Daphnia pulex: one gene and its partners. The protein of the gene in region 1 interacts with the protein of each later gene in a biochemical or structural test. Links are inferred from orthologs where the notes say so. Each region holds a gene or a part of one and is shown on either strand. Other genes may lie near its edges. The genes, in order: E3 ubiquitin-protein ligase CHIP-like, ubiquitin-conjugating enzyme E2 W-like and ubiquitin-conjugating enzyme E2 N.

Region 1 (3,703 bases):
AGGACAGTCGAAGCGCGAAGAGGGGGAAAAAAAAAGTTAAGAAATCGATGCAACAACAAGTGCTAGGCTATGCATTAAATTGAAAAACTTCAACTTGAGACCTAGGAACAGGAACAGTAACGTTTCCGCCCTTGTATGCACACTGCAAGATACACAACAGACTTCTCTCTAGAGTGCTGATAAGATAATAACTGTAGTTGACGACGTGGCAAACACAATTTACCCATGGGACGTTTATTATAATTTAAGTGAATATCGGTCCAGTCCCGTGCTGTACCAGGATCGATAGTACCGTCCGTTCAAGTCGACCCCCCTGATTAATGACCAACTTAACCAACTCTGATACAATTGTCCTTGGCCACATCCACAACGAACCACGCCAAGCTCAATTAAGTGCTTAATGAAAGGAAACGTACCAATAGAGTTCGGCTGCAAATCATCAATTGCCTTTGGCTAAAGTAATAAAATCAATCACCCACAAACAATTGTCAGAGGAGACGATAATTTAGTCTAAAGAATATAACCTATTGAAAGATTGGAGCAATCCTACAGGTGTAGAATCTGCTCAAGGCGAACTCTGATCCCAATAAAATCAAATTTAATAGGAGGTTCATAATCAGGTATATATAAAATTTCCAGCATCGTCTATTGAAGTACAACAGCAATGTGCAATCAATAGCGAAAGACTGTATAGCAACATTTACTTCCTGATTATCATCCAACCCGATAGGAAACATCACAACTGGGGCTCGGCGATTCAAATCATAATATATATCGATTTCATTTAATACAATGCGGCGGAGTTTTTAAGAGAATCAAAATCAATGAATGATCCTTAAAAAAGTGGTTAGTAGTGCTGAGCCCATTCGTTTTCGGTCAGGTACGAGTCGACAACTTCTTTCATGGAGAAATTTGGAATCAATTGGTCTTTGGTCAATTTAACTCGCGTCACAGGGTCAAAATGTCCAACTCGCTGCGTAAAAACAAATCTTTTGGCTAATATCTACTAGGCAATTTTGAATTCACTTACCTGCAAATGTTCTTCGATGTCTTTCCTATCGTAGGTTATTCCTGAAGGAGTGATGACTGGATCTCTCATGATCTCGAAAGAGATTTTGCCACATAAATAGTCTGGAACTTCACGTTTCTAACCGACACAATTACAAAGACAATTTCTTAATGGTATAAGACGTACTGAAACACACAGTTGAATAATTTATAGTACCATTCTTCGGTCATCGACGGTTGCGAAAAGGTCATTCAATTCAGCCAGGTAGCGATCCTACCGATTTTAATCAAGTATTATTAGTCTACTAACGAAACAAGAAAAATACTCTAGATATGCTCACGGTGACGTTCTCTATGTTCGAAATTTCGTTTTCCACTGAACTGTATTCTTTGTCTTGACTAACCAAATCGATTTGTCGATCTCGATCCTCTCGAATGAGCCTATTTATATACATCTATCAAAATAAAATCCAAGTTTCAAATGAATCATAATTTTTTGCAAAGTGGAGTGGACAAAGAGAATGTTATTAACAGACTACCTGTAGTTCGATTTCTTGTGAAATTCTTTTCTCCTCCTGCTTTGTAAAATGATGCTTCTTTGCCAGTCTTAACTGACTGGTAATATCATCCCCAAAATTAAGTTTCTGATCCATCGAAAGATCACGGGCTAATAACAAGCAAATTTCAATAATCAGATTTTATGTGTTCAAAATTTATGTTAAGTTGGGGAAATGAGTACCCCTTTGAAGATGTTTTATTGCTTCCTCATAGCATTCTTTTTCCATTAAAGCTTGGCCCAGAAAGAAATGCCCTAAACATAATAGCAATATATAGCATTTTCAGAGTATTTTGAAGAATTTATACTAAAAACCTTTCACCCAAGTGTTGTCTAACTCTAAAGCACTTTTGCAATCTTGCACTACTGCATCCCAACGGCCAAGCTTGAGAGAGCAGAGAGCTCTATTTGTGTAGTATTGTGGAACAGAACCATTTTTAAGCTAAAGAAAACAATTACAATTACTTTGATTTACGCGTTGCAAAACAAAATAATTTATGCTTAATTTAATTAAAGAAATTTACAATGGCTTTGGAATAGCATGAAATTGCTTCATCGAAACGTCGAGCTAAAAACAACTTATTCCCCTGATCTTTGTGTTCTCTGTCACTCATTTTCTTCTCTAAAAAAGAAACTATTGGGTGCTGTAGGATCGAGAAAGAATTTAAAAAAGCAACACTATCACATAAAATAGATACGAAAACGTAATTGCACAATTCCAATTAACGTCAGATATTCTGACACTAAAGCGGAAAACAACAAAAACGCTTTTAATAAATAAACTATAAAATGCGGATGAAAGTAAAGTAAAGTGCGGATTGTGGAAAGACCTTTTCACCGCCATCTACCATCCAATAAAAATAGATTTTAATCTATGATGAATACGCGCAGTAGACGCCATAACGATTCCTATCTAATTTGAAAATTAGGATAAGAAAATTAATTAGAGCTGTTAAAGCAGAGAATTTATTGAAATAAGCAAAAGAAAAGGTTATTTGGAGTGATATACATCCGACCTGGATACACGCGCGTACAATTTTGACTGCGCACTGCTGGGCTTTAACCTAGAGAACAGTAGGCGATCCGCAGTGGTTATTCTGGTTATTTACTTATTTAATCGTGTGACCATCTCAGGAGTTAAAACTTCGAAGCGTGAGACCAACTGGTGGAGTCAACGTGGTTTTATGGATTACGATATTAATGATAGACGTCACTTTTTTATACCGTTTGGGTTCCGGCTGTATTGCTTGTTTGCAAATGTATTTTCTTTTACTCGGATTTTGGGTTTCCTGTTAGTGGTACAGTAAGTTTCCTTATCACACGGGCTTTCATTCCGATTTGAAATAGTAACTGGAAAAACAGTCAAAGGGAAATGACGGACGAGGTTACGTTCCGTTCCCACAAGATTTTACGATGGAGTTTTTTGTGCCTCAACTTGTTAATCCTGGTAAACATATTATTCTATTACAATGTAATTGTAGATTTGTTAAAATATTAACAGTTATATTATTCCAACGTGAGTTTACTAAAGAATTTAACTGAAGATGGTTGAAATTATCGAATTAAATGTTGCGTTTGGAAGACTGGGTTTGTTATTGCTTTTCATAAAATATGATACTGACATATTCTTTGAAATGCAGTTGAGCGGCATTGTATTAATCTCCTTGTCGGCGTCGTCACTTGTACAACGTCAAGAATTTGCAAAAGGATCAGACAAACAGAAATTTTTGGTGGTAAACGACAAATATATGGTTATGAACATCGTGGTTGCAATTGCCGTCAGCGGTCTACTCATATTTCTTAGCCTATTCGGGATGTGTGGTGCCTTTGGCGAGAAAAAATGCCTGATATCTTGCGTAAGCTCGTGTTTGTATAAAAAAAAAAAAACAAAAAAAGATTTTAGAGTAATTTTCTTTCTCCTTTGACTAAATGGAATATTTCGCTACGATGAATGATTGCATCGCACTGCTCGCCTTCAGTACCTGGTTTTCGTATTACTAAATCTTGGATTCGTAATTGTGGGAGGAATAATGGTTCTTCGCTTTTCCAAAATAACCGAAAATTCTCTGAAGGAAAACATTTCTAATTATCACCACAATAAAACTTCAAAAATTCGTGTGGATGAAATCCGAAGCAAGC
Region 2 (4,000 bases), on another chromosome or scaffold:
ATCTGTCGTGCTCGGAGATAATCAAGAGAATGTACATTTTTAATTGTGTTGGAAACTTTTTATTTGCGCCATAATAGAAACCGTGTTATAAGACATCCGCAGTGTATCAGAATGCATTATGCAATCTGACTAAACAAAAATGGCAAATGTTTGCAGAAAAATATTAATTGAATTAAGTTTTGGGTCCTCTCAAAACATCTCCAGTGGCGCAGTTGGTTAGCGCATGGTACTTATAGACAGTAATATATGCAAAACTAACATCAAAATAAAGATTGAAAGTAATGCCGAGGTCGCGAGTTCGAGCCTCGCCTGGAGAAAATTATTTAATTAATTTGCGAAATAAATAAAAAAAAATGTTGATACTTCGTTGTTTCCCACTACTGTCGCCGAGACAATGAAGAATCGATCAAACAACGTCGATTCGCTCGACTTGCGTCACTCACACCTATTGCATAATGTGTTACGTCAATATGACACTGCTGTTGTCACTATATCTTGTTAGTCCTTAAAGGATTCGCAACTGCCATAAATATCTCCAACTGAAAACAATACTACCGTTACGCTTTTGTTGTCACTTGTAAAAGATAAGGGCTCCCACCTTTTTAAAAAAACATCAACGTCTCAGTTTTGTTATAATACCATATGTCATCAATCGATAACTTTCTGCCTTAAGGTTATATAGGAGATGTACAGTACCCAGTCCCAATTAGCTGACGCGGGACACAAATTAGACAGTTAGCAGTGACATTGCACGACAAAGGAGGTTAAGGAAGACGCAACTTGGCCCGTTTGCGTAGTTATTGTTTCCGCTCACGAACCACAAAAGTTCAGTGAACGTTGGAATCCCCCAACTTATTGACGTTTGTTTTTTGTCTGCGTGTGAACTGGAAAAGAAAGAAACTCGCTGAATCAGAGATGAAGGGCAATCTTATTTGCGACGTAAAAAGAAATAAACGACGATAAATGTTTATTACAGGCAGTTTCCACGGTCGTTGAACTCGCAACTTCCGCATCTGCTTTCCGCAATTCACAGCGTTCCGCACAACTGCGTCTGCGAAATACCCAGACGTTTTTGGAGGAAGAAAACAAAACATGTCATCACATCACTCGCGTTTCACATGTTCTCCTGCTCAGGTAAATATTAAATAAAAAAATGCTTCAGTTTAATAAGTGTGAACGTATTCAGAATGGCGAAACGTTAAAGAGCCGCCTGCAATTATCTAGTCGTAGTTGGTAGAAAATGAAACTCGAGGAACCTTCGGTTGCCATGTCAGCTTGTCCTTCAATCTCATCATTATTTGGACTTGTCCTTGACATTTTGCTAGTAAAACTTTTCTTTTAAGTAATATTCTTGACTCGGTTTGAGGTTTCGGAAGTCTTTTTAGCGGTAAAAATAGCTATACTGCTCTGGAGATGGTGTGTGTTCTTGAAGCTTGCTAATCGGTTATGGCACAGATTCAACCAACTGCTTCCTTATTCTTCCCAATTGAGTCACCTGAGAAAATGAAACCCTAGAAGAGAGTTCTGACTTATTGGCACATGTCAGTTTGGCACATGTCTGGTGTGGCTTTGCACGGTTCACGTGAAGTGAAACCCTGCAGCGTACTGTCAAACTGGTGACATTTCCTTTCTATAAAAGGAGAAAGCTACATAAGTGGCAAGTTAGTTCTTGGATCGGTGAGTATAGTTTTCGCATTACTTGCTGGTGGTTGTGTCTCACATTATTGGTGCCCACTGCGAATATGAGTGACAAATCCCTGACTCAATCGTGTGTTCTTCAGAGACAAGAGGTTAACCCTGATTGTTGCCGAATAGATCAGTATCTAAATAAAACTCAATTTTTTTTTAATATTACAGAAAAGGCTGCAAAAGGAGCTTGTCTCCTTGATCAAGGAACCTCCTCCTGGTGTTGTGATCGATGGAGAATCTGTGGGCCAGAGCCTGGACTTGTAAGATTGACTTGACATTTTGTTGGACAAGTGCATCACACTTTTTTCACTTTATTTTTTTCAAATCTCACTTCCAGGTTGGTGTTGAGTATTAATGGAGCTCAAGGAACGATTTACGAAGGGGAGCAGTTTCAGTTACAGTTTCGTTTCGGACCAAAGTACCCTTTCGATTCGCCCGAGGTAACACCTTTCAGTCAACGAATTGACCAAAACCAACACGTATGTTTTACTCATTTGAGACCACTCTCTTTAGGTTGTTTTCGTCGGATCGGAGATCCCTGTCCATCCGCACGTCTACAGCAACGGTCTGTCTAGCGTGAAACCCTTAAAAGATGGTCAATAATTTAACCGCGGCTCTTTTCTCCAACCTTTTCGGTTATTCAGGCCACATCTGCCTCAGTATATTGACCGATGACTGGTCACCGGCTCTGTCCATTTTTTCGGTCTGTGTTTCCATTATCTCAATGCTCAGCTCTTGTAAAGAAAAGGTCAGTTTCAATTGTGTGAAAAAGTATCTTTCTCACCCATCACTCATTCACGACTATTGACCCGTTAGAAGAGACCACCGGATGACAGTATGTACGTGAAAACGTGCAGCAAGAACCCAAAGAAAACCAAATGGTGGTACCACGGTGAGTTTGAATGGCTACCGCCTAAACCCGAGTTATTATTAATCTTTTTTAACCATAAATCATTTCCCAATTTGCCAGACGAAGAAGTGTAAAACGGGTTGATATCTCTCCCCCTCGATTCCCGCTACGAAAAGAAAAAGAACCTGTTTCACGCTGGCGATGCTCGCGTCAGAGACAATCTAGTCGCCAAAAAAATACGAAAGAAAACAAAAATGGATTTTCTTTTTTCAGTTGTCAAAATTTTCCACCCTTCCGAATCGATCGCGTTGATTTCCCATTCCCGATATTGACCTACTACTTCCTCGCATAACGAAACAGTTCCTCTCTGTCTTGATTAATATGCGGTTGATACTCTCCAATTTTTGACTTGTAGCAATATTCACGAAAAACTACAGATGTGTAATGTTTCACACTTTTGGCGTTTGATTTTTCGACTTTTAATCGACATCAAATCTACGAAGCCTTTTTCCCCCCTTCTACTGTGTTTTATCTTACCCCCACCCATTCTTTAAATGTTAAACGAAAAATATTTCGCTCGTATAAAATTTGTTTCAACTATTATACTCAAATTCTTTTTCATTTCACGTTTGGAAGACAAAAAAACTAAACGATTTGAATTAGCCAAGTAAATAATGAATTGTATATTTCTGAAATGGTTTCAAAATCAGAGGGTAGTAGGGCGCAAATTTTGTAATCGACTTTTTCTGTTTTATTATCCTTTTCGAGAACATTTTTTGATGTGTGTGTGTGTGTGTCTTGTGTGATGTTTTTGTTTCGAAAGAAATAGAAGAAGAGATTAAAGTTCGTTTCCGACAGCTTTTTTTTAAGACTCCGCTATAACAACAGCAATGAAGGGCGTGACAAAACATACTTTTGGGTAAACGTAGAGATTAATTAAGGTGGGCGACTTGAAAAAAAATGTCATTCGTCAATTAATGATCGTATTATACACACACACACCATGACTCATGTTAATGTTAAAATAGCCAGTCATATGAGGAGTGTATATATAGCGGATATGAGCTGAAGAAAAGGAGAGGAAGAAAGGTTTTTTGACAAACAAATTCTCCTGGGTAATAAAAAGGGAAAGGTTTAAAAAAAAAAAAACAATTTAACTTTTTTTTTTCGTTTTTTCTTTTTTTTTAAATCAATTAATAAAATCAGAAAGGAGGAAATCTAAAATGATTGAGCGCTGCACGGTATTCCGTCGGACGTGTACACACTGAGAAGAAACAAATCCGCCGAGCTATTTTATCCTTTTTTAAAAAATAATAATTACAAAAATCCGAACTGCATTTTTTAAAATTCATTAAGGAGAAACGAAGAAACAATTTTGAAATTGAAATAGAATTACAAAGAGAGAGAGAGAAGAATAAGGAGGGCAGGGGGGGGATTGGTATACATAACAGCTCTGTGCGA
Region 3 (3,534 bases), about 2.5 Mb from region 1:
CAGATCAAGAACATTCAGACTGACTAAAGTCGTTGCTCGTGATTCATTTTTTTATTATTATTTAGCATCTCGAGGTATTTTATTTGAACTGTATTTGTTTGCGCACCCAATTGACCCCATACCGATCTTTTCTCAACTGCCAAGAAGTATATAATTTTTAAATATCTATAAAGGCTATAATTTGGTCCCAACCGAATTTCAGTGAGATAGAACTGGAGCGACAGACGTCCAAACCGAAAACTATACATGAAAAACCAAGAGGCAGTTGTCTATAACTATTCTGGATTCAAAGTTTTTCCCTTTTTTTTTTTTGTAACCACGAAATTCCATAATGTTGGAGATTATTTTTGAGTGTTGGGAATTCCTGTTTCTGATCGGATCTCAGTACCAATATTCGCTTCCCTTTTTCGGTTTGAACCTACCTCATCTGAACGGTGCGAAGAGGTCGGGGAAGATTTGGTAAAAAATTGATTATGTCTGTCGAGTGGATGGTTTTCGTTTCGTGATAAATGTGCGCTCTCATCCGTCTTTATAATTTCACCCTCCTCATCCACGACAAGTAAATACACAGCTGTACAATTTGATACTCTAGACTTCCACGGGTGACGGCATTTTTATTATTCTTTAGTATCCTTTTGAGGTACTCGTGGTACTAAACGGTAAAAAGTGTAGGCTATCGACGATCATTTTAACGACGCGTGAATTGGAATGAACCGTCGATAGAACTTTTGACGAGCAAACAAAAGAAGATTGGGATATAAGAACGAGCAAAATGTAGTTTTTTGGCTGATCACCATCGGGGACAGTTCAACCAATTGAAGGGAGGGGAATCAGTCGACAAAGGCTGATGGACGAGGAACAAAAGAAAGCAAAATAATCTAAATTCAAACACAATTTCTCGGTAACGGATTGACAATTTTACTCTTTTTCCTTCCACAGATCCAGGTTTCATATGTTTCCCATAGCATAAGTTCTGGTCCATTCTCGAGCATTACGAATAGCTTCTACCTCGTTGACTTTCCACAACTCAGCAACATCATTGGCCAATGGATCATCGGGATTGGGCGCACTCAATAGAGCTTGAATCGACAACAGCACTGTCCGAATTTGCAAAGCTGGACTCCATTTATCTGAAAATATTAGAAAATATTAAACAAAGCCAAATCCACACACTTAAGTTTTTCAAGCAAATGCAACTTTCTGAAGTTAAAACTGATTTTTTCCCCAGTTACTTAAAAATTCAAAGCACAAATGTCATAACAATACAGGTATACCCTGATAACCAAAACACAAGATTATACATGCATAGAACACATAACACTTGACAATCTTGATAGAGCAAACACTAAAGTAATAAAAATAATCACCTTTCAGAATATCAAGACAAATTCGGCCAAGTTTATCAATATTAGGGTGATAAATCTTTGTCATGAATCGCACTTTAGGTGCAGACATTGGGTACTCTTCAGGCAAAAATAGTTCCAATTTGAAAACACCACCTTCAAATGGAGAACCTTCTGGACCTATGAATTTTAATCAATATGAACTAGTCAGTACCAGAATGACACTTTAAGGTTGCAATTTAAGTTTACAGACCTGCAACCACAACATGGAAATAACGAGCATTTTGTTCATCTGGAACTGCACTAATGCCTGGGACAGGCTCAGCCATCAAACGTTGAGTTTCCTATTGATCAAATTAATGACGAATATACTATATTGCTAGAGAATACTACCGGTCCCATAATAGGATCGGGAGAAAAAAACACGTTGCCTCCCACTTTGATGCAAGTCTACAATTAAGATTTGTGTTACCTTGATTATCCTTCTAGGTAAGCCTGCCATTTCGCATCAATTTGTTGAACAAACAACGAGTATAAAATAAGATTTTCGTATAATAGATGGTAACTTTAAAGCCAAATAGAGAAGACGGAAAGTTTTCACGCTATACGAGTGCCCTATTGCTAATTTAAGACGTTGTCAAATTGTTTGGTGACGAAAATCGGTAGGAGATCGACCCGGCCACACGGGAAGAATTAGACATATAAACATATTATTTTTCAAATTAAGACGATTTATTTAAAATGAACAAAGTTTATTTGAATTGGTTTACAAACGGAAATACACGAGAAAGCTAAACAAAAGGTATTGCTTTTCAAATGCCGGAAATGAGTTTAAACCTTTATTTCAGAACCGTAGAAAATGACCAGTAAAAATTTTTTGGTTAGATTAATTGGCTGTTCTGTTTGCGGAATATTTTAATTATTTTCATGAATCATCTAGAAAGAATTTCGACTTGAAAGTTGAAATAAATTGAAAAAGGGCAAATTAACTAATAAGGCATGATTAAGATTGAATGGCAGGCTTCAACACATAAAATTTTTTATTTTATCACTTTCTTCTCCTATCCTTCTTCATGTTAATTTTATTCCCTTTTTTTATGCAAAATTGCTAGAATTTAACTCGGCAAGTCGGCATCCGGTACTGATCTGACGTCTGACCTCCATGTTGTTTGTTTTTAAACTGTCGTCTGCTAGTATTGTTCGTTCATTGCTTTTGCGTGGTTTCATTCACTCAGCTTCATTCTGTTTTAAAATATAAACCATCAAGTGTCAAACACGGAAAGAATGGATCAAAAATTGGCTAACAAATTATTTGAAGAGGGCGCGTTTTTATTTCTTCTTGGCGTACCAATTGGGACTGAAGTAGGAATAGATTTCAACAGTTGGAGAACCGGCGAAAAATTCAAAGGCATAAAAATGATACCCCCTGGAATTCACTATATTTATTACAGGCAAATAAGTTATTTTTTGTTAGAACAGTTGTGTGAGTGTAACATTCACTGTGAGGTACAAAATGTGATTGTATATTTTTATATAATTTCTAGCTCTGTAAGCAAGGAAGGTTCCGTAGCGCCAAGAACAGGTTTCTTTTACAACTTCAATAAGAAGGAAGTTGTGGTCCGTAAGTGGAACCCAGAAATAGAAGATGTCATCAACGATTGTAATTTTATTTTATAAATCATTATTTAATATTAATTTATTATTTAGTGTTTATCCATAATAGGTACTGATGAAGAAAGAGAAAGTTTAAAAGCCAATTTAAAAAATCTTGATCAGCACTTGGGTCCATATCCATTTGATACCTGGAAGAAATGGATGTCTCTCAGCAGTAAATTGACAAGTATATTTTCTTATACATTATGTAATCTGTACAAAAATAAAATGTCTAACAATTAATATTTAGCTGATGTAGTTGGGAAAGTGGAACCCCTTCAGCAAAAGATTTCATCAGTTACAGAATTAATTTCATCAGAAGATGTACCAGCACCAGCAGAATCTCCAGTGAAAGAAAAAAGAATAAAGAGGTCAAATTATGAAGATGAATTACTACCGCACATGCAACCAAAGCCAGGCACAGCGTTAAATTTTACCAAAGTCCCTGTTGATTTCTATCCAGTAGGATCAAGTGCCATGGAAATCACTAAACATAGCATTGACACATCTTATTTACTGGAACAAATGCTGTCAACTT

The links.
Region 2: the proteins of E3 ubiquitin-protein ligase CHIP-like (region 1) and ubiquitin-conjugating enzyme E2 W-like form a complex in vitro, tested with the Homo sapiens proteins (7 studies listed by BioGRID, with this or other methods). The link is inferred for Daphnia pulex from reciprocal best matches to the Homo sapiens genes STUB1 and UBE2W.
Region 3: the proteins of E3 ubiquitin-protein ligase CHIP-like (region 1) and ubiquitin-conjugating enzyme E2 N form a complex in vitro, tested with the Homo sapiens proteins (11 studies listed by BioGRID and IntAct). The link is inferred for Daphnia pulex from reciprocal best matches to the Homo sapiens genes STUB1 and UBE2N.

Annotation. Positions count from the first base shown.
Region 1 is NC_060019.1:9,014,783-9,018,485, forward strand, and holds E3 ubiquitin-protein ligase CHIP-like, read right to left. Parts: upstream 2,375-3,703; 5' UTR 2,179-2,374; coding exon 2,089-2,178; intron 2,007-2,088; coding exon 1,880-2,006; intron 1,820-1,879; coding exon 1,748-1,819; intron 1,676-1,747; coding exon 1,548-1,675; intron 1,464-1,547; coding exon 1,350-1,463; intron 1,283-1,349; coding exon 1,226-1,282; intron 1,148-1,225; coding exon 1,031-1,147; intron 974-1,030; coding exon 848-973; 3' UTR 628-847; downstream 1-627. Other genes in the region: CD82 antigen-like, read left to right, coding at 2,937-3,011, 3,205-3,420, 3,544-3,703. UniProt on the Homo sapiens protein: E3 ubiquitin-protein ligase which targets misfolded chaperone substrates towards proteasomal degradation.
Region 2 is NC_060027.1:2,995,224-2,999,223, reverse strand, and holds ubiquitin-conjugating enzyme E2 W-like, read left to right. Parts: upstream 1-1,205; 5' UTR 1,206-1,742; coding exon 1,743-1,790; intron 1,791-1,857; coding exon 1,858-1,949; intron 1,950-2,026; coding exon 2,027-2,129; intron 2,130-2,202; coding exon 2,203-2,254; intron 2,255-2,333; coding exon 2,334-2,437; intron 2,438-2,505; coding exon 2,506-2,581; intron 2,582-2,659; coding exon 2,660-2,673; 3' UTR 2,674-3,386; downstream 3,387-4,000. UniProt on the Homo sapiens protein: Accepts ubiquitin from the E1 complex and catalyzes its covalent attachment to other proteins.
Region 3 is NC_060019.1:11,512,924-11,516,457, reverse strand, and holds ubiquitin-conjugating enzyme E2 N, read right to left. Parts: upstream 2,043-3,534; 5' UTR 1,846-2,042; coding exon 1,816-1,845; intron 1,688-1,815; coding exon 1,597-1,687; intron 1,524-1,596; coding exon 1,368-1,523; intron 1,131-1,367; coding exon 949-1,130; 3' UTR 585-948; downstream 1-584. Other genes in the region: YY1-associated factor 2-like, read left to right, coding at 1-23; protein AAR2 homolog, read left to right, coding at 2,628-2,794, 2,888-3,003, 3,067-3,183, 3,247-3,534. UniProt on the Homo sapiens protein: The UBE2V1-UBE2N and UBE2V2-UBE2N heterodimers catalyze the synthesis of non-canonical 'Lys-63'-linked polyubiquitin chains. This type of polyubiquitination does not lead to protein degradation by the proteasome.